3 linked regions of the Schizosaccharomyces pombe genome follow. Changing the gene in region 1 together with any one later gene gives a genetic interaction. Each region holds a gene or a part of one and is shown in the gene's direction. Other genes may lie near its edges.

What was found.
Region 2: of clr6 (region 1) and tra1, changing one suppresses a phenotype caused by changing the other (phenotypic suppression), as found in Schizosaccharomyces pombe (one study listed by BioGRID).
Region 3: of clr6 (region 1) and moa1, changing one suppresses a phenotype caused by changing the other (phenotypic suppression), as found in Schizosaccharomyces pombe (one study listed by BioGRID).

What each region holds. Positions count from the first base shown.
Region 1 is NC_003423.3:844,656-853,348, reverse strand, and holds clr6 (class 1 histone deacetylase Clr6), read left to right. Parts: upstream 1-1,872; 5' UTR 1,873-1,990; coding exon 1,991-2,030; exon of another isoform or gene 2,031-2,072; coding exon 2,073-2,134; exon of another isoform or gene 2,135-2,179; coding exon 2,180-2,230; exon of another isoform or gene 2,231-2,272; coding exon 2,273-2,390; exon of another isoform or gene 2,391-2,433; coding exon 2,434-2,464; exon of another isoform or gene 2,465-2,506; coding exon 2,507-2,550; exon of another isoform or gene 2,551-2,640; coding exon 2,641-2,686; exon of another isoform or gene 2,687-2,741; coding exon 2,742-2,976; exon of another isoform or gene 2,977-3,022; coding exon 3,023-3,115; exon of another isoform or gene 3,116-3,160; coding exon 3,161-3,269; exon of another isoform or gene 3,270-3,313; coding exon 3,314-3,454; exon of another isoform or gene 3,455-3,494; coding exon 3,495-3,603; exon of another isoform or gene 3,604-3,645; intron 3,646-3,650; coding exon 3,651-3,709; intron 3,710-3,760; coding exon 3,761-3,840; 3' UTR 3,841-4,004; downstream 4,005-8,693. Other genes in the region: spo9 (ER farnesyl pyrophosphate synthetase Erg20), read left to right, coding at 112-246, 296-433, 502-702, 743-1,324; cys11 (cysteine synthase), read right to left, coding at 4,164-5,086, 5,232-5,364; mfs3 (spermidine family transporter), read left to right, coding at 8,225-8,693. UniProt on the Schizosaccharomyces pombe protein: Responsible for the deacetylation of lysine residues on the N-terminal part of the core histones (H2A, H2B, H3 and H4).
Region 2 is NC_003423.3:1,902,419-1,909,487, reverse strand, and holds the start of tra1 (SAGA complex, phosphatidylinositol pseudokinase subunit Tra1), read left to right. Parts: upstream 1-4,069; coding exon 4,070-7,069. Other genes in the region: ribosome biogenesis protein Nop8, read right to left, coding at 1-1,356; ribosome biogenesis protein Yar1, read left to right, coding at 1,816-2,256; ubiquitin-conjugating enzyme Ubc7, read right to left, coding at 2,744-2,997, 3,047-3,104, 3,501-3,689. UniProt on the Schizosaccharomyces pombe protein: Essential scaffold subunit of the transcription coactivator SAGA complex. SAGA acts as a general cofactor required for essentially all RNA polymerase II transcription.
Region 3 is NC_003424.3:3,728,016-3,732,839, reverse strand, and holds moa1 (meikin), read left to right. Parts: upstream 1-3,805; coding exon 3,806-4,324; downstream 4,325-4,824. Other genes in the region: fub1 (PI31 proteasome inhibitor domain-containing protein), read right to left, coding at 1-397; glutaredoxin Grx2, read right to left, coding at 859-947, 1,032-1,100, 1,148-1,168, 1,416-1,569; NatA N-acetyltransferase complex catalytic subunit Naa10, read right to left, coding at 1,849-1,936, 2,140-2,196, 2,244-2,346, 2,662-2,856, 2,943-3,033; retromer complex subunit Vps29, read right to left, coding at 4,736-4,824. UniProt on the Schizosaccharomyces pombe protein: Plays an important role in chromosome segregation during meiosis I by allowing meiotic rec8 to establish cohesion at the centromeric central core and thereby promote the side-by-side structure of kinetochores at meiosis I.

The sequences.
Region 1 (8,693 bases):
AGAATTGTGGTTATTTGTCATTTTAAATAATATTTTCTCATAGAAGACCTGTGCTAGTTCTCAGTCTTATACCAAGCTGGTTCTTATACATGTACAATTAAAAATACTAAAATGGTCAACGATTTTAATGAAAAAAATGGCATTAAGAAAAGACTTCTAGATTTCTTCCCAGTCGTTCTCGAAGGAATTCGTGAAATCTTAGAAAGCATGCAATACTTCCCCGAAGAAACCGAGAAGCTGTTATATGTAAGTTGATTATCTTGCCTTTATAACGCGACAGCTAACCTTCATTTAGTCCATAAAGAGAAATACGTTAGGAGGAAAGAATAATCGAGGACTGGCAGTTTTGCAATCTTTAACAAGCCTTATTAATCGAGAACTTGAAGAAGCAGAATTTCGCGACGCTGCTCTCCTAGGTTGGCTAATTGAAATTGTAAGTAAACTGGTTTTTTAATTCAGATTTGTTTACGTAAAATCACTGGGGTACTGACGGATGTTCAGTTGCAAGGTTGCTTTTTAATGGCAGATGATATTATGGATCAGTCTATCAAACGACGTGGTTTAGATTGTTGGTATTTGGTAGTTGGTGTACGAAGGGCAATTAATGAGTCACAATTACTAGAAGCATGTATTCCACTTTTAATTCGAAAGTATTTCAGAAATATGCCATACTATGTCGATTTATTGGATACTTTCCGAGAGGTATGTTACAATAAATTCAACTAAAAAGCTTACTTTCAAGGTTACTTTTCTCACCGAGTTGGGGCAACAAGAAGATTTGCTTTCATCACGAGACGGAGAAGCCTCGTTACGATCTTTTGATTTAATGAAATATGACTTTATTATCACTTATAAAACATCATTTTATTCCTTTTACCTTCCTATTAAATGTGCTTTATTGTTGTCTCGCAATTCGAATCAAAAGGCGTATGATACGACTATAAAGCTTTCAAAACTTCTTGGTTATTATTTCCAAGTCCAAGATGACTACTTAGATTGTTTCGGTGATTACACGGTTTTGGGTAAAGTGGGAATGGACATACAAGACAATAAATGCACATGGCTAGTTTGTTATGCTGAAAAATTTGCCTCTGCGGATCAGCTGAATCTTCTTCGTGCTCATTATGGAAAAGCAGGGTCTGAAAACATAGCTGTAATAAAGCAGCTTTATCATGAGCTTCAAATACCTGAATTATATCACAAATTTGAAGATGACATGGTGGATTCTATATCCAAAGAAATTGATTTGATTGATGAATCTACTGGATTGAAAAAGTGTATATTTACTAAGTTTTTTCAGCTCATTTACAAAAGGTCACGGTAGCAGTCATTTCATTTTAAATAACCGTTATTATCTTCTTCCTTATTTAAAATTTATTATTTGATGACCTTCCAAATTCTTTATGATACTGATCGACGATTTGTATTTAGGGTTATTCTTAAGGTTTCATATCATTATAGCATTTATGGTTTTTTTCATTATTGTTAAAGATCTGCATTCAGAATTTACTTTTTTAATGATTATCTGGTTGATACATTACTCTACTTGGGAAACTAAGCAAGATTTAGATTATGTAGATGTAAACATTTGGTGAGTAGTATAATAATAACATCAAATGACATTGACGATCGTTGTTAATTGGATTGGTTATGAAAGAATTATTATATTGCTCATTTGAGAAAATGCAAAAACTGTCACTGAAAAAAACATACAGCACATTTTAATAGACATTCCAAGGTTAGTCCTTTTTGTTATAACAGTATTTTACTTAAATTGAACAATTAATCGTTACTTATTTAAGATCTTGAAACACTAGTTCGTGGATGGGAGAAATATTCAATAGAACCAGGCTGCTGCTTCAGCTTCTGACCACTCCATCATAGCAACAATTCTACGCGAAAGCGCTCCGAACCTAACATTTTTAATTGATAACATAAGGAAACTGTTTGCCTTATTAAATAATTGGGAAAGAAAATCCTATTTGAAACTATGGGGTTCGGGAAGAAAAAGGTTTCTTATTTCTATGATGGTACGTGTAAACTAGTAAGATCCTAGCTAATTTTTGAAATAGAGGATGTTGGAAATTATCACTATGGTCCTCAGCATCCAATGAAGCCTCATCGCGTTCGCATGGTATGATATAAAGCTATAACTATTTATCATCATTAACCTACTTAGGTTCATAATCTGGTCGTTAATTACAACTTGTATGAGAAGTTGAACGTTATTGTAAGTTCTATTTCTCCTTTTTATACTAATAAAGTATACAAGACACCTGTTAGAGCAACAAGGAATGACATGACTCGTTGTCATACCGATGAGTATATTGAATTTCTTTGGAGAGTTACACCTGACACGATGGAAAAATTTCAACCGCATCAGCTGAAATGTAAGATTTCATTTCGATTATTTATAAATAACCGTGATTTTAGTTAACGTCGGTGATGATTGTCCTGTTTTTGAGTATGTGCGTTTATCAAATTTTTTATACTAACAATTGTTTAGTGGGCTGTACGAATTTTGTTCAATTTCTGCTGGCGGTTCAATTGGTAAGATAAAAGTTTTTCCCAAAAAAGGGGCTTTGAAGCATCCGCTGAATTTGTGAATGGAGTATAGGACTTTAACTAACATTGGTTTAGGTGCTGCTCAAGAACTTAACTCGGGAAACGCAGAAATTGCTATTAAGTATGTTATTGAGGATTTTTTAGTACTTTGAAGATCAACTAACCACTTAATTAAGTTGGGCTGGAGGCCTACATCACGCTAAAAAACGTGAAGCTTCTGGTTTCTGCTATGTTAATGATATCGCGTTGGCTGCTTTAGAATTGCTGAAATATCATCAACGTGTTCTTTACATTGATATTGATGTTCACCACGGAGACGGTGTAGAAGAATTTTTCTACACTACGGATCGCGTTATGACTTGTTCATTCCACAAATTCGGTGAATATTTTCCAGGAACCGGTCATATCAAGGTATGCATGCGGCTTTATATTTGGATTTACTTTTCTAATATTTTAGGACACCGGAATTGGAACAGGAAAAAACTATGCTGTTAACGTTCCTTTGAGAGATGGTATTGACGATGAATCTTATGAAAGCGTATTTAAGCCTGTAAGTCTTTTTTATAAATTTCTTTGTTCTAACAATCTGAATTAGGTTATAAGTCACATAATGCAATGGTTTCGACCGGAAGCTGTTATTTTACAATGTGGAACAGATTCTCTCGCTGGTGATCGACTAGGCTGCTTCAATCTGTCAATGAAGGGTAAGTAACTACTGTTTCTCGTTTTTACTAATTCCCCTCAACAGGACATTCAATGTGCGTTGATTTTGTTAAGAGCTTTAATTTGCCAATGATATGCGTTGGAGGAGGTGGATATACTGTACGGAATGTTGCCCGTGTCTGGACTTATGAAACTGGTCTTTTAGCCGGCGAAGAGCTTGATGAAAGTAAGTACCAATACGTAAATTGTTTATTAACCCATCCAAGACCTTCCTTATAATGACTATTTACAATATTACGGTCCCGATTACAAGCTCAATGTTCTTTCAAACAATATGGAAAACCATAACACTCGGCAGTATCTTGATTCGATAACGTATGCTACCTTTTGAGTTTTATTCTTACGAGGCTGACCAAATTTAGCTCTGAAATCATCGAAAATTTGAGAAACTTATCTTTTGCACCTAGCGTTCAAATGCATAGTAAGTATAAGCGGTTATCGAAAAATGTGCTAACAAATACTCTTACATTAGAAACTCCCGGTGACTTTACGTTTGAAAATGCCGAAAAGCAGAACATTGCGAAAGAAGAGATTATGGATGAGCGCGTATAGACCTATATAAAATTTTGTATGTTCATGGTGTTTGAATCCATTATACTCGGTTTTTTTGTGTTATTTGAATCATGAATACTATAAAAGCTATTATGTTTAAATACCCTTATTTATAAGAATTCTCCAGCATAATTAGACTTCAGCATTAAATTGAAAATGCTCATTACATATAATAACAAACACTTTATATTCTATACTCTAGATGTGACTTGTGGTTTTAAAAAAAAAGGAATAGCCAAAAAATTAACGCACAAAGAAAGAAGAAACGGAAATCACAAGGTAGTAGTAATTATATGTCTATCCGAAGTAAAAGGTCAAAACAATTAAGGAAGTACAATATACTTCTTGTATTGTGGCTCAATTACATCAAATAATTTTTTACTTTCAAGGAATGAGCGACTGAATAAACGAGTGGCATACTTGTGACCAGAATCACAAAGAATTGTAACCACCGTCTTGCCAGGACCTAATATTTTAGCCATTTCAACAGCAGCGACCACATTTAAGCAAGAAGAGCCGCCCAAGAAAAGACCTTCTTGGTCTAACAAACGAAAGAACATGTTAATAGATTTTTCGTCAGGGATTTTCATAGCATCGTCAATGAGATCGTAAACAGGTTGGACATTTCCAGTAATACGACCTTGACCAATGCCTTCGGTAAATGAAGAACCCTTGTTGTCAGGATGCTTACCCTTCGTTTTGATATGGCTATACAAAACACTTCCAGGGGGATCAGCCACGAAAGAAGCAACACGACCGTCGGACTTCTCCTTCAAATACTTGGTAACGCCGGCAAAAGTACCACCAGTACCAGTAGAGCAGGTAAAGCCGTCAACGGTACCTTTGGTTTGATCCCAAATTTCAGGACCAGTGGTTTCGTAGTGAGACAGTAAGTTAGCGACGTTATCGAACTGATCAGTCCAAGAAGCATTCGGAGTAGACTCAGCGTGACGACGGGCCTGATGGTTATAATTGAGAGGGTTGGAAAAGGGAGCAACAGGTACGGGATGAACCTCGGCACCCAAAAACTTAAGGGTATCGATTTTAGCTTGAGATTGGGTATTTGGCATGTAAATCACGCATTTATAACCTCTTGCTCTAGCAATGTGAGCAAGACCAATACCAGTGTTACCGGCAGTCCCCTCGACAATTGTGCCACCTCTAGAGAGTTTTCCTTTTTTCTCGGCATCGCGTACCACGTAGTAAGCAGCTCTATCCTTGACGCTTCCTCCGGGATTTTGGAATTCTTAAAAAATTTGCAATTAGTATACATGAAAGCAATTAAAAAGAAATAAAGGTATAGGATTGCCATTCAATTGAGAAACCTCGACGTTTCAAAATTGTTTAGCAAAACGAGACCCATTAAACAACGCCCTATATCAAAAACATACCAGCTTTGGCAAGGATATTGCATCCCGTCTCGTTCGACAGCGTATTCAGTCTAATTAAAGGAGTACGACCAATTGCCCCAATGAATCCGCTAACGATTCCTGGAACCTTCGTTTGAATACCGCTAGTAGCCATGTTGTAGTACTAACTGCGAATTACTGTATATCACAGTAATTTCCTCTAAACACTTGGGCGAAGGCAAAGAGCACTGTAGTAGGATAGGTGATATTTATGAAGAAGATGACGCGATCGTCACGCGGAATTCAAACACCGGCAAATAGTGGAATTCGCAATTCTTTACTTTAATGAAGAATTTAAAACTACAGAAAGTCGTACGATAAGGCGTCCATTGTTAAAATTCTTTATCAATGTCTTTAATGGGATGTACGGATGTGATATTGTTAAATGTGTTTAAGTAATTGTAACGAGGAATGCAAAGATGGGGATGGAGGTGAAAAGGACATAGAATGAATAGCGTATTATAAGGGTTATTATTTGAGAAAGGTTTTTACGTTTATAATATTTATTAATTGGTTAATTTTTATTTATTTTATTTTTACGTTTATTAATTTTTACTCTTTTAATTTTTTTTATTATTTTTTTTTTTTTTACTTTTTTTTATTTTTTTACTTTTTTTTATTTTTTTATTTTTTTTTTTTTTTCTATTGCGTTGTCAAATTTTTTTCCTCAAGCATTTTATTCCTACTAATATTAAAAATTGTACGGCTATGTTCGACTATATCGACACAATGGCTACTCGTTTGAACGCTTGCTGTTTGATTGATTTCTAGTCTATTAACAAGAAAATCACATTTCAGTAACTCCTTGATTGTCGTTGCGTATAAAGAAAGCAAAGTAAGAGAACATTGGAGGTTTCCAATAAATTTTTTACGGAATAACTATTGAAAGCGTTTATTTGTATATTATAAAACTATTATTTTTTAAAAATTGTTTGTTATATGACAAGTGTTGTTGTCATGATCTTTTGATTTCATAATGAAAACTTATAATAGCGAAATTCACAGATGAAAAAAAATTATCCGCTATATCTCGTAATTTATTGCCTTTTGTCAGCAATACTACACTACGCTATGATACACTACGTTGCGTATCACTATATGTCATATGTTCTAATTATATATCGTACCATGTATGATACGATATGGAGATTAATCTTGATGATAATCTATTAAGATCTATATTATCTGAATACTATAAATAGAGCTACCACTGAACTGAGGAACGAGGTTCAGTTATGAGCTATATTAGTGATAGGTAACATTATAACCCAGTTAATACAATACCTATACTCAGTTGCTACTTATACAACCTGTGTATTGTAATATAAATAGACCACAAGGAAAACTCACCGCAGTTCTACGTATCCTTAAATCAGATACCAAACTGCGTAGCTTACACCTTTGCGTTTTTGTGTATTTGTAATTCTAACTTTACGAACTCGAATGAAATCTAGTGCAATATAAGAGTTGCAAAAAATAAATAATAAATTTACACAAGAAGGAATAAATGAATTAGAGAAAGAGATGAAAATGTTTAGCTAGTTTAACTGCTCCAATCCTTTTTTATTTCAGTTACTTCAACACACTATTATTTATTACTTCTTTTTAGCAATATTCACCCGCTTAACATCATCAGCAACACTTTCCGTACCATCCCTTTCCCCGGCAAAACCGAGCTTTTTGGATACAAAAACCGAACTGGGCTGGCAAAAGCAAGCCATGGCATACGTAAGTATTAATGTTTATTTTACCTCCAGTTACAATATATAAATACAGGTAGTCATGTTACAATTAAAACCGATTCGCATCCCAGCTCGCATGCTGAAAACACAAACTTGAATATGTAGCCCTTATAAGACGGGTGTGTTATTTTGTCTAGAGAGAAAAAAGAATCTATATTAACGGGAAAAGTAAAGAAAATAAGGATAAACAAGGGTTATTAGCCATTAATATCAAAATAGACGGAAAGAAAAAATAAAAATAAAAATATAATGAATAAATAATCAAAACGATAAACAAAATGAAACGCAAAACAAAAATTAGCAAAATGATAAACAGGATAACCTTTTACTTTCCACTCCCCACAAAAAAAAAAACAGAGATTTTCTTTCTTTCTTTTGCAAAACAACTGTTTGAGAAAGCACTTCTATTATTCATACCTCTCTCTTCCTTCGATTCTTTTTTTTTTGTTTACTTTCCGGCATCCATTAAAGAGATAACCCACTATGTTGCATGGCGGAATGCGATCCAAAAGCGCATTCGAGTGTTGCATCATAATAAGGTAATAGTGTAACGATCTTTAGCGCATCCTTGTTTTATCTATATTTTCCATTTTAGATCCGAAACTGCATAAAAAGAATCTTTTCGCATTCCGAAATAGACTCCCAATGCAGATTTAATGAACAACCAACAACATCTTAATTCACAGGTATAAGTGGAAAGACTGCCACCAGATATAGATGGAGACGGATCTTTTTTCGGTCCGAGTTAAGTTCCTTGAAAGTGTTTAAAACAAGATGGATTTCTACACTCTCAACAGACGTTTTACTTAACATTCCTGGGTATTGTGGGCTATCCCATTGTTAAACTTATCTAATCTGGAAAACGTGTAGTGTCGACTAGTACTTGCTGGAAAGCATATGTTTAAAGTCGCTCGCCTACTTAGAACACCAAAAACCTCGCAATAGATTAAAGTTGAGTTGTAGCGTCTTTTAAGTTTCGTTAAATTTCCGGTAGCGAAATTGACCTCTTTTCCTTTAAACAAATATTGAGGAAGGGATATTCTTCATTTAAACACCCAAAAAACAACTGTTTAATATTTATTTCTTATCTTGAAGAATCTTTCTTTACCCGTTTTCTTTCTTTCTTTTATTTTTTCCTTTTTTCCTACTCGTTTTCCCCTTTGCTAGATTGCTGATTGATTCTTCCATCCGTTTTGACGAACGGTCTCATCTTCGTCTTTTAAACTTATCAAAATGTATAACAATAATTCTTCTACCTCTTCTGACTCATCAAATTCTGAGGAAAAGGCAAACGCCCAGCATGCATCTTCTACTGATTCAACTTCTGAGCACACCGATCCCGCCGTGGCAGACGAAGGTTTTCCTGCCGAGCAATACCAATCAGCTGACTTGGAAAAGCAACAGTTATTAATAGAGGAAGGCCCTGGTGGCTTTCCATACATCACAAATCCGGAAAGGTTCTATGTGTCTCTTGAACCCTCAGATCCTAGGTTGGCTGTCAATTGGCCTACACATGTTAAAATATTGCATGTCGCTCTACTGGCGTTTACTACACTAACTGCATCTTGGGGTTCCTCAGTTTTTTCCGCAGCTGCTACCATCTTCGCAGCCAAGTATCATATCGGTCTTACGGTTGCCTTGTTGGGTATGTCTCTATACGTTTGTGGATTTGCTTCAGGTCCTATTTTGTGGGCTCCTATTT
Region 2 (7,069 bases), 1.1 Mb from region 1:
TAAGAATAGACGATTTTCCGACCACCAGGATTCAAGAGCTTCTCTGCTCGTATAATCTTCATTACCTGGTTGGAATAGGGAAGAAGGATTGGGTAGAGTAAACATTTTTGGCCAACCCTTGGTACCCGATGAGGCTTTAACTATAGCTAGCGGAGTTTCCCCATCTGCCTCTTCTTCCATAGTTTCGTAATTACGGTCATCAATCTCACTTTCCATTTCACTTTCCTCACCAACTCCATTTTCATTGCCAAAAAGAGAAAACTTAGACGTATCCTGCGCATTGGAAGAAAACATTTCTTTTAAATTGTCAACGTTAACAACAGCAGTACGCTCATCAAATGCTTCAAATTCAGCAGGAACATCTATGTGTACGGACTCTTCCTTTTGTAAATTATCTTGTTCATCCAAACCTTCTTTTTGGAAATTATTAGTCGAATCATTGTCCAGTTCCAAAACACCTGAAGTTTTAGATACGGTATCAATTTCTTCTGTATTTTCAGAACCAAACAGTTCAGCTAACACAGATGCAGCCGTATCCTTATCTTTTTTTCGCAAAGCATCCAATTGCTCTTCGTTTAATTCTTTTGTGACTTCAATCTCCCCAGTTGTGTTATTAAGAAGTTCAAAATCGTTATCATCCTTCTGAGTAGAAGCTTTGATACCCAATTTTGCTTGCATACGTATTTTGTCACGAGAAGCTCTCTTACCCCCATATGATACATACTCATCATGATCAGAATCATAAAAAGCTGTAGTATTGTCCATATTCGTTTCCACTCGGCCCCATAGTTTTTGTAAGCAGTTTTTACCCAGCGGATAAAAAAACCTCGTTTTCTTAGTATTTTTATTATACATTCGAAGCACGACAATGGCCCTTCCATAGGGGCCTTTTTTCCAACCTTTTCTAGGAGGATCCTTCCGAACATCAGAATCCGTGACCACCTGCATATTTTTACTATGTTTTCCGGGAACAATTATTTCTCCATGAAAGACTGGGTCTTCCAGATCAACTTTGCTGGAGTGATCTTCATTTTTCTCATCATTATTAGTACTTTGAAGATCAGCAATTTTTTTTTCCTGCTGCAATTTTACTAAATAATAAGGGCGAGCTTCCTCTATACGAAGTTTACTTCCTTTAAACGTCGCATTTGATAAGTAAGACTTGCATTTCTGCCATTTATCTTCATCTGTTCGAAAATTCAAGTATGCAAATCGTTGTATAGTTCCTACTGGAGTAGATTTGTTTATAATTTCAAGATTTGAAACACTTCCAAAACGAGAAAATCTGGATTCCAAATCTGAAGATTCAATAGAGGATGAAAGGCCACCAACATAAATCCGTTTTTCTAACTCCATTATTGAAGTCAATTGATACAAAATGAGGACAAAAAGTTTCGCAGGTCAAAAAGAGTGTCTGAAATATAATGGGAAATAAACCCGAAAAAATAGTCTACCAATCGCTACCAGATAGCTATTTAGATGAGGAATCGAGAGCTGTGTGAGCAATGAAATTTTTTACAAGGAAAGCATATATACTGGTTTAAATCTCTATGACTTTCGGAAATAAACACTCCTGTAACTTCTTTTTCTCCTTCTTATAAATCAAAAATTAACCTGCTGTAGAAGGCAGGTTCTCGTTGAATAATTATATAAAATTGCAATGGAATTTGTGGTGTAGTAAGTAACCACGGCCTTGCCGAAGCCAAGTTGGAGAAGCCGCGGCTACCTTACACTAACAAACGAACAGTTTTCACATCATTCTCTTTCCAAATAAACCGGTAAAACATCCTTCTTTACTGGATTGGATAGTTTAATATGGATGTTGATGATTTAATTTACGCTTGTAGAGCTGCGGATGAGGAGTTACTAGATGAGATTATAGAGAAATGTCCACAAGAATTAAGTCGTCGTGATGAAAATGGTAACTCTGGACTTCATATGGCTAGTGCTAATGGACACATCGCTGTTGTTCAAAAAATAATCCCGTACTTGAATAAAGAAGTAATAAATGCTCAGAATGAGAGTGGAAACACCGCAATGCATTGGGCAGCACTGAATGGACATGCTGAAATTTGCAAATTACTACTGGAAGCGGGAGGTGATCCTCATATTAAGAATATTTATGAGAAGTCACCTATATATGAAGCTGATATTCGAAATCAGCAAAAAGTAATGGACCTTTTTCTGGATTTTGAGATTGCTAAAGGTAGTGAAGAAAACACTGGTGATGAAGAAAAATTGGAAGATGGAATATGATCGTTTTATTTGATAATTTCTGATTTTTATTTTGTAAAAAAATTTACCTCTTTCTTTTGTAGGTTGTGGGAAGCTAATATTTTTATGCACCTGATGCATTTTTTTTTTCTTTTGGAGCATAATTTGGGGTTATTCTTATATTTTGTTAAGTTTTTTACTGTGTAATTTCTAGATGTTTTCTCAATATAATTCGTTTTCAGCGATGTACGTTGCCATGTATCTGTGTAGAAAGTTCAAGTGATGTTTATTAAAAGATGGATTATCTCAATAGACAAAATGTTTATCTTCCATCATTTACAGATAGAAATTGAATTGGAAAAGTGCTTTCATTTTTGTTTAAACCTTGTAATTAAACCTATGTAGCGTTATACGTTGGAATAGAAAGAGAAAAGCCTACCGGTTGCGTTCAAAAATGGAACAAAACTTTATTTCTAGATTTTATCAGGTTCGTTATTCATGGCAATCTAATCAAATATACAATTCATGGTTATAATCCCAAGGTTTTACGAGCCAATCGTCGAACTACACGACAATATTCTTCTCGATCTTCTCTCCACATCTTGCACGCATCGATGTTAGCACCACTTTCATCGTTTGGTTCCGCCAACATCGACATTACCGATAACAGTATTTTTTCAACAGATTGAACAGGAGACCAACGTTCTGAAGACGACTCATACATATTTGGATCGTCACCAGGTGCATGTAGGATGGAAATGCAAACCGTCCCATCTTTGTAAACTGAAATGAAGGTTAGTCTCGAAATTTGGATTAATAGTATCTGGCATACCATTTGGATGGAAAAATTCACACTCAAACTTTAAAGTAGGGGGGCCAAGAGGATAATCCTACATAAAAAAGTTAGAATCCAATAAAAATAAAACTAAGCACGTATCAACGTGCGCTTGAACACCCCGGATGTACTGCCATGCGATTCAAAGAAAGAAACCAAACCCCCAAAAAAAAACTTAGATAGATCTTTTAAATAAAATTTCTTCCTACTCATCAATAAATCGAAGGATTCATCAATTACTAATGAATAAAAGCACTTCTCTTAAATGATCATTCTAAACGAATGGATTATTGAGTTACTTTCTTTATTTACGCTGAACAAATGTTAATTTATGAAAAAGAGCGCGTATTTTTTAATAAGTAGTTGATACATAAAACATGCGAAACATCATACTTATCCACAACTTAAATCACATGTTCAGTCTCCATCAGGTTTATAGTAAAGGACTTACGGAAGGAAATTTCAAGGTAGCAGGGTATAACCCACCTTCAAATGGAGTTCCATCAGGGCCTTGAATTAGGCAATCCCAAGTAAAGAAATCATCCTCATTCGATGGACCTGCAGTAATACCATCAGGCCCATTCTCCGTTAACTCCTTATACTCCTTCATTAACCGTCGCAACGCCATAGCTTTACTCATTTTGGAAATCAATTAACTTACTAATCGGTAAGATATATTAAAGATCACTGACTAAAAGGTAGCCTAAAAATGGTAATGAACAGATTAATGAATGAATGGTTTGTTTACGACAAATTATGCAGCTGAGGCTAAACGAACTTTTGTGGTATCACTCGCTATTTTTATCTCGTTCATCATTTTAGCAACTTCTACCGCACAAAATAATAAGGCCGTTAATTAAAATAGCGAAAACATGTAAAATTCATAAAGTGATTTAGAGGAAAGAAATGCAGCTTGCTCTATCCCACAACATTCCAATAGTAATTGTTAAATACTTAGGAAAACGTATCCGAGTGCAATTGGAATTTAAAAAAGAGCTTGCGCAGAGATCCAAGCATCTGATGGATGTATCACAATGCGAACATTGGCATAATCGGCTTTGTGATGTTGGATTAGACTCGAAGCAAAAGGCAAACACAGCAATTGAAATTCGAGATGCACTGGATGATGTGTTGGTAACTGAAAAGACGAATTTTGAAACTTTCATTCCTCTTTTGGAGGACACGTTGTCTTTGCTTGAAAAGGAACGTCCTGTATTTTCATCGTTAGCAGCTACACATCGTTTACGCATTGCATTGCTTGAATTGCTCAAGAAATCTGGATCCTATAAAGGTTTTGAAGCATTCGTTAATCGGACTTTTGCCGTGCTTCTTCGTATAGTCGTTAATGATAATGAAGAGATGGCAGTGTTGGCATTGAAGCTTGTTGTCCTTCTTTTTAAGGACCACAGTAGCCTTGCTAAGGGACATGTTCAGGAATTTTTATCCATTGTCGTTGAAAACTACAAATCCATGACCACAGTTGTTTCAGAAGCTTTCCCACCTAGATCAGCTCCGAATACTCCATCCTCTCATCCCATGTCTGCTGCATCTTCTGCATCTCCTGCTGAAATTGGAATGGAACATGCAGGTCCAAAAATGATCCCAAAAGCTTCTTCGAGTTTCAAGGTCACTGCTGAATTTCCCATTATCGTCTTTCTCCTATTTCAAACATACAAAGATCTTATTCCGAAAATGCTTCCTTTACTTGCTCCGCTTGTACTTCAATTTATCTCACTTCGTCCTCCACCTCAAGCCGAAGCTCGTCGACTTGCAGAATCTCAAAAAGAGGTTTTTATTGGTGTAGTCCCTTCTTTGCGTCGAAATCATCTTTACAATGACCTTATTTCTGCGCAAATTAAATCATTCTCTTTTCTCGCCTATTTATTGAGAAGTTTTGGTGCTGCTCTTAAACAGTTTGAAAGCTCGATCCCAATATGTACCTTGCAATTGTTCATGGACTGTCCTTCCGAATTATATCAGACTCGAAGAGAACTTTTGGTAGCTACAAGGCACGTCTTATCGACGGATTATTTGAGAGGGTTTCTACCGTATGTAGATCAACTACTTGATACCAAAATTCTAGTTGGTTCTGGAATCACTTCTCAGCATTCATTACGACCCATGGCTTTTAGCATGCTGGCAGATATGCTTCATTATGTGCGTATGGAATTAAGTCCACAACAAATTTACAAAGTCATACTTCTTTATTTCAGTATTTTGATGGACGACTTTTATACTTCAGCTATTCAGGCAATGGCTACAAAGCTTATTTTAAACTTGGTTGAAAGAATTGTTGCACTAGAAGATTTTTCCACTAGCCGATCACTTCTATTTGCTATACTTTTATGTCTCTTAAGAAAATTGACTTCTCTGAATTTCGAGTTTATGAAGCTGAGAGATTCTTTACAGGAAAATGCTGACTTAAAGCAAATTAAAATAGAAGAAAATAAACATGATCTTCCTATGTTTGAGAACCCTACTGGAGCTGCCCAACCTTCAGGTTTGGATAAGCTAAAAGATTGCATATTTCTTTTTAAAAACACCTTATTAGGTATTAAGCCTGTTTTGTTTGGACTAAAGCAACGAAATATTCCTCTTGCCAACGGTTCCATTTTTACAGCTCAGGAATGGTCTGAAAAGTTACATCTTAGTTCAACTAATGAAGTTTTACTGTTTCGAAGATTACTTGTGGAAAGTTTAAAGGGATTCAGTTATTACCAGACAGATGAAAAAACCGGTGTATTCAAGTCCTCGAAAAATCTTGCATACTCTCAACTTGATTCTTCGTTGACCACAAACCCTTCTAAACTCTTAGAAGAGAAGGAGCTCTTAGAAATGTTAGCAACTTTATTTTTACACTTGGACCCATCTGTTTTCGTCGAAATTTTGGAATCCGAGTTTCCGAATATATTTGAGTGTCTAGTAGATAATCTTGCTTTATTGCATATTTTCCAATTTTGGATGTCTAATGAAGTTACTTCTGTCAACTGCACGGGCATCGTGCTGTCTTTTTGCTGTGACAATCTAGCTAAAATAGGGTCTGGCCAATCCACTCGGGTTTCTGTTTTATTGCGATTATTCAAGTTGGCCTTTATGACTGTGAATGTTTTTCCCGAAAAAAATGCAGAAGTCCTGCGTCCCCATATATCCTATATCATTTCAACTAGCCTCGAATTGACTACTGATGCTGTTGAACCTTTAAATTACGTTTATTTAATGAAAGCTTTGTTTAGAAATATCAGTGGAGGAAAATTTGATTCTCTTTACAAGGAAATACTACCACTTCTCCAAGTAATGCTAGAATGTTTCAACAGATTGATTTTTACTGTTACGTCTACATCCCAAAAAGAGCTGTATGCGGAACTTTGTTTGACTTTACCCATTAGACTCAGTGTGTTGTTGCCTCATATGAATTTTTTAATGAAGCCATTGATTGTTGCATTAAAAGGCCCCCCTGAAATAGCTAGTCAAGGGCTTCGAATATTTGAACTTTGCTTGGATAATCTTACTCAAGAATTTTTGGATCCTTTATTGGACTCAATTATGCCGGATTTGCTGATATGCCTGTGGAATCATTCACGCCTTAATCAATCCAATAATCAATTGCATCAAAGTGCTGTGAGAATATTAGGAAAAATGGGTGGTCGAAATAGACAAATATATCTTGGTACCTTTGGCTTTGATTTTTTGCAAGATGAAAATATTTTTCCTTCAATCCAGTTTTCTTTCCAAGGCTCCTCTCAGAATTTTAGCTTAGAGCACTCCAAATTTTTAATGTCTTCATGTGCTGTTTTAAACAATCAAAATTCCGATTTAGAAGAAAAGAAGCAAGCATTTCAAATGGTCAAGAATTCGTATTTATTACTCTTTGCGTCTGCGAAGCCCGATGAAGACTTTTGGGAATCTATTGATACAATGTGCCGAGCAGTTGTAGATCGCATGGATAAAAACTTACAGCAAGTCTCTAATGGTAGGTTGTGCCCTGACAAAGATGAATCTTATTATCTGCAAAGATCTATT
Region 3 (4,824 bases), on another chromosome or scaffold:
AATTTAACTCATTAGCCGAGGTATCTTTAGCGGTACGTGCAGCATGTTCAGCAAGCCGATTATCTGTATCAACTGGACAAACCTCTGCAACTAAAGATTCCAAATTCCAAGGCTGATCATCATCTAAACGGAAAATCCTTGTAGCTGTGATATTTGATGAAGTATTAGCACACAAAATATAAATCCATTTATTCCAAAATATTAAACGAGTAGAAACATTCTGAGACTCATTTACAATGTAGTTGAATTCACTGTCTTCAGTTAAGCTTTCAGTGACTTCTTGCAAAACATCTCCGTTTCGTAATTTACAGTTTTTAAATATCGCCCCAGTGTTTAGCATGGATTTATGGCATTTTTGTTGGAAGCGTAAACGATCGTCGGAAGTCGGGTTATTCATGATCAGTGAAAAATAATATAAATAAATATATACGAAAAACCAATTGTATTACTTGGGTTCAGTGAACAAAGGAAAAGTACATCACTTTGTACGTACTGTGTGTGTGTCTTCGTGAGGTCGCTTCTGTTGTGTCATTTATATTACCAAGTGGCAATCAATGCATGGCGACTACTAGAGGTGATGAGATTGAAGTCAAATGATTTCACTATTAAACTTGGTATATAGTAAGTAGAAAAGTAATCTGGCTAAATAACTTTTTCCAAAAAAAAGCACACACTGTGTGTTTTGCAACTGAAGAAAACTTGCTGTTCAAAGTGAGCAGGAAACTAGAAACTGATTGAAGATAAAGATACCTTTAATGTTATAATAGAATTGTTTTGCAACTGCACATTCAGTTCGTTATCTCGTTTCCCTAAAAAATAATATTGTAAAGTCGTTCGCTATATAAATCCTAAAGATAATCATAAAATTGAAGATTTGTTTTCCTTAAGCTCTGCTATCATCTTCGTCAAAGTGCCTGAGCTACGAAGTTTGTTCAAATCGGAATTGCCTTTATATAATGTATTAGTAATAAACAACAGAGAAAAACCAACGAGAATATTAATGGTCAAGGAAAACAAATTTGGGTTCATACCTCCAATGAATTGGTTGCGAAAGAATATGCTGGGTACTGTAGACTGTTTGGTCTTTTCATGTAAATAAGCTGCTCAGGTAAGCATATGATAAAATCAGTTTGTTAACTAAACACACCTTGGATGTCAGATCCATTTTCTAGTGTAACATCAAGTTAGTTAAAAAGGATGAAAAGCAGAACAAAAAACTTGAAATGTTTCGCTATTTCTCAAGATCATGGAAGGAAACAAAAATTTTCGTAGTTTCATTACACAATTATGAGGTTTCGAAAACCCAATTAGACTATTATTTCATATACTTAATTTATGTAGACATAACTCAAGAAACTTTACAATCGATCAACTGAATCTTCAGCTCTTAAACAAATGAAGAATACCATACTTACCTATTTTATCTAACTCATAAGCCTTATACGGAGCAGAGTACTTTGTAAGAGTATTTTTGGCTGCTTTGCAGAAAGGACAGAACGATTTACTAAAGACAGTAACCGGATTGTTTGAGATCGCCTTTTCAACAAAAGCTTTTGCTATAGAAGTCATTTCAGCTTAAATAGGTATTCGTCTAAAAATGCAGTGGATATTGGTGACAAGTAATACAGTATGACTATCGAGGTGTTGGGCTACCTAACACCAAACGACACGATTAGGCAGTTAGATGTGATAAACAAAAACTCGAAATTACAAGAGTTATTTCGAAATATATTTAGTACACCAGTAAGCGAGTACAATCAAATGTTAAATACGCTATCACGAAGTTATAACTGCAGTATCGTACACTACACCCTAATTCACTAATTAGAAATAACGGTATATATTTTATTAGTTGTTCAATGCAAGAGATTGAACGGTTTTTGCTAGTTCGTCGTTGGTTTCTGGTGTATCGAATTTCAAAGTAGAAAAATCTTTGCTAAAAATTGTTAGTAACCTAGATAGTTGTGATGACGTTGAACAGTCATATATTGTCTGAAACAACGTAGGTAATTATACAGAAGTTGACCAAACTAAAGAAAGAACGATTGTCACAAAGATTGTATATAGTTTTTGGAAAGAATACTCATTAAACGATCCATGCAACCATCCCCAACCTAGTTTTTACAACAAAGTACTTACTGCATAGCATAAGCATCTTCACCATCAGCATAATATTTGCTTTCAATCCCTTGAACGCTAAAATAATGTTAGAATCTCTTCAATGATGGCGAGTAAAAACATACTCAAATTGCAAAGTATCACGATAAAGATGAATAGCAGCTCTGTTGCTTTTACGAACATGAAGACTCATATATTTGGCGCCATAAACTTCGACCATGGCTCTTTCTGTTCATTTAAGTAGTTAGTATCTTTTACTTTTTTTAAAAAAATTTTGTTTAAGGAATGGACCGAAAATATCAAGGAATCAGCAGGAAGGAAACATTGTCGAAAACAAATTAGGTAAAAAAAATGAATTGTTGCAAGGAAAAAACCAACTCACCAAATGAACAATTCAAAGTATTAGCAGACCAAGTCTTGCACAAAATAAAATATATACATATTGGAATAATCATCGATAACAACTGCAAAAAAGCTTAAGATTTCCCTCTAGCTCCTCCTTGGATATATCCGTAATCTACTTCGCTCTCAATTAACACTTACGACTTTGAACCATGAGACGTTTAGCAAGTCCTAGATGACGATAGGAGCGCATTACTGAGACACTTGTGATATGACCATGAGGGATCCCATCCTTAGGCTCTTCTTCCATTTTTGCAAGAACATATCCTACGACACGTCCTTTCGGATCAGTAGCAACATAAGAAAGCATAGGCCAAGAAATAGCATGATAAAGGTCTACATTAAATTAGAAAATAAGAATCATTGTTTTAATACTGGAAGTTCATTGCCGTGCAGCAAGAATTACAATGAATTGAACTTACAATATTTTAACTGATAATTTTCAGGCAAGTTATGTAAGTTGCAGTTCTGCATCCCAGTAAGGTCACTTATACGAGCTGGCCGAATATCCATCTTGCCAATCGTTTAATTTTTAGCAATATCTATGATTTTTGTTTGTTAGTGGTTGGAATCAAATTTCCAGCATACCATATTTTAAGAAAGCGCAGTGAATGTAAAACGAAATTCAGGGAATGCAAAGCAACTACTGCAAAGCTTTTAGAAATGATAAGATTCATTTGATGTTAATATTATCTGTCAAGTATTTTAACGTCAAATATTTACTGCTTTGCTAAAAAAACTATGTTTTTTGGAGACTCACAATGTTCGACGTTAAGCTCCTTTTAAGTTACAAGCCGTTTAGTACACATTGCATAACCAAATTTCTAATTACTTAATGTTGCGTTTCCTAAGTTGTTTTGATTTTCAATGCAGATGATGAGAAATCCTTATTATAAATAGACAATGATGTTTACGATGGATTGCACACTTAAAGACATTAAATCAAAACTTTATATTAATTAGCCATTAATTATATAATCTAAGTTAATACTTATAATCACCATAACATATTTTGTTTACTGTGGAATCAAAAAGGATTAGCGATGCTTGATTGAATCCTTTATTATCTTAAAGTCACACTACCTTGGTTTTCCTTTAAAAGTTTTAACAGCAGCCTTGTGGTTTCACTTAGGCTAAGTAAACTCAACGAAAAAACATTAAGATTTGTTATTCGTAAATTCAGCTAGTAGACCTCGAACATTAGGTTTTCCCATTGGTAAAAATGTAAACAAAACCGCATTAATCATATAAAACATTAAGCGAAAAAAAACAATAGATTGCATTTATGGCTATAAATAATGAAAACGAATTAGAGTATAAATTAATAAAAAAAAACAAGAATCCTAAAATATCAAATTCAAAAAAAAAGAATTCGACACGTCCAGCTTTACAAGACAAAACTAATCAAACATTACCAATTCATCAAAATCAAGCCTTTTCAAACATTCTTCCATCTGATTTTTCAATAATTAAGACACCTGAGACAAAAACTGCTGACGATTTCCCCGTAAATGGTTACGAAGGCTTAAACATTTTAAAATTTGATCTCGAGTTATTTTACAAACTTAAACCTGTAGCAACGTCGACCCCGAAGTCTTGCATGAGGACGGGCTCCAATTTATTTTTAAATGAAACTGTTAAACATGTTCCAGATGAACGGTTAGTTTCAAACATCAAGAATACCCAAACAAAGGACTCTATCACAAGAGATTCTGCGTATTATCACAGAAAAACTATGACAGAAAGCATAATCAAAACACTCGCTGCATTTGATGCTGAGGTTGATGAGATTATATTGTTTTAAATCTCTAACTGACACTGGAATATAATCGTACTTTTCAAGTACTAACGCATCTATTTTTCATATGATATATTTATTAAAAAAGATTTACAAACCTGCTTTACAAATCAACCTTGACTACGATTTTATTTATACATATCGATCAGGACAAACGATAGCATGTTCAACAATATTTGACGCGAAAGGCCGACAAAGAAAAGTGGATAAAGTCAGCGCATAAATTTAACCTTCAAACATTTCTTTCATTTTAAAAAAGCAAGTAAGGAAAGCACATACTTTTCGGTAGTCTACATACTCGGTAAATTAAGATACGGATTATGCTATAATAAACAGAAAAACATCTAATTATCATTTAACACTTCTTTACGATGAAAAGACCGCATATTCCGTGGTTCAATCGTATATTTCATGAGATTATTCTGGTTTTCTGTACTGCATTTTTTCAACCCGGACCTCTCCATCAAAAATCCTATAAACATAAAGTATTAAAACTGCTCCTTGAA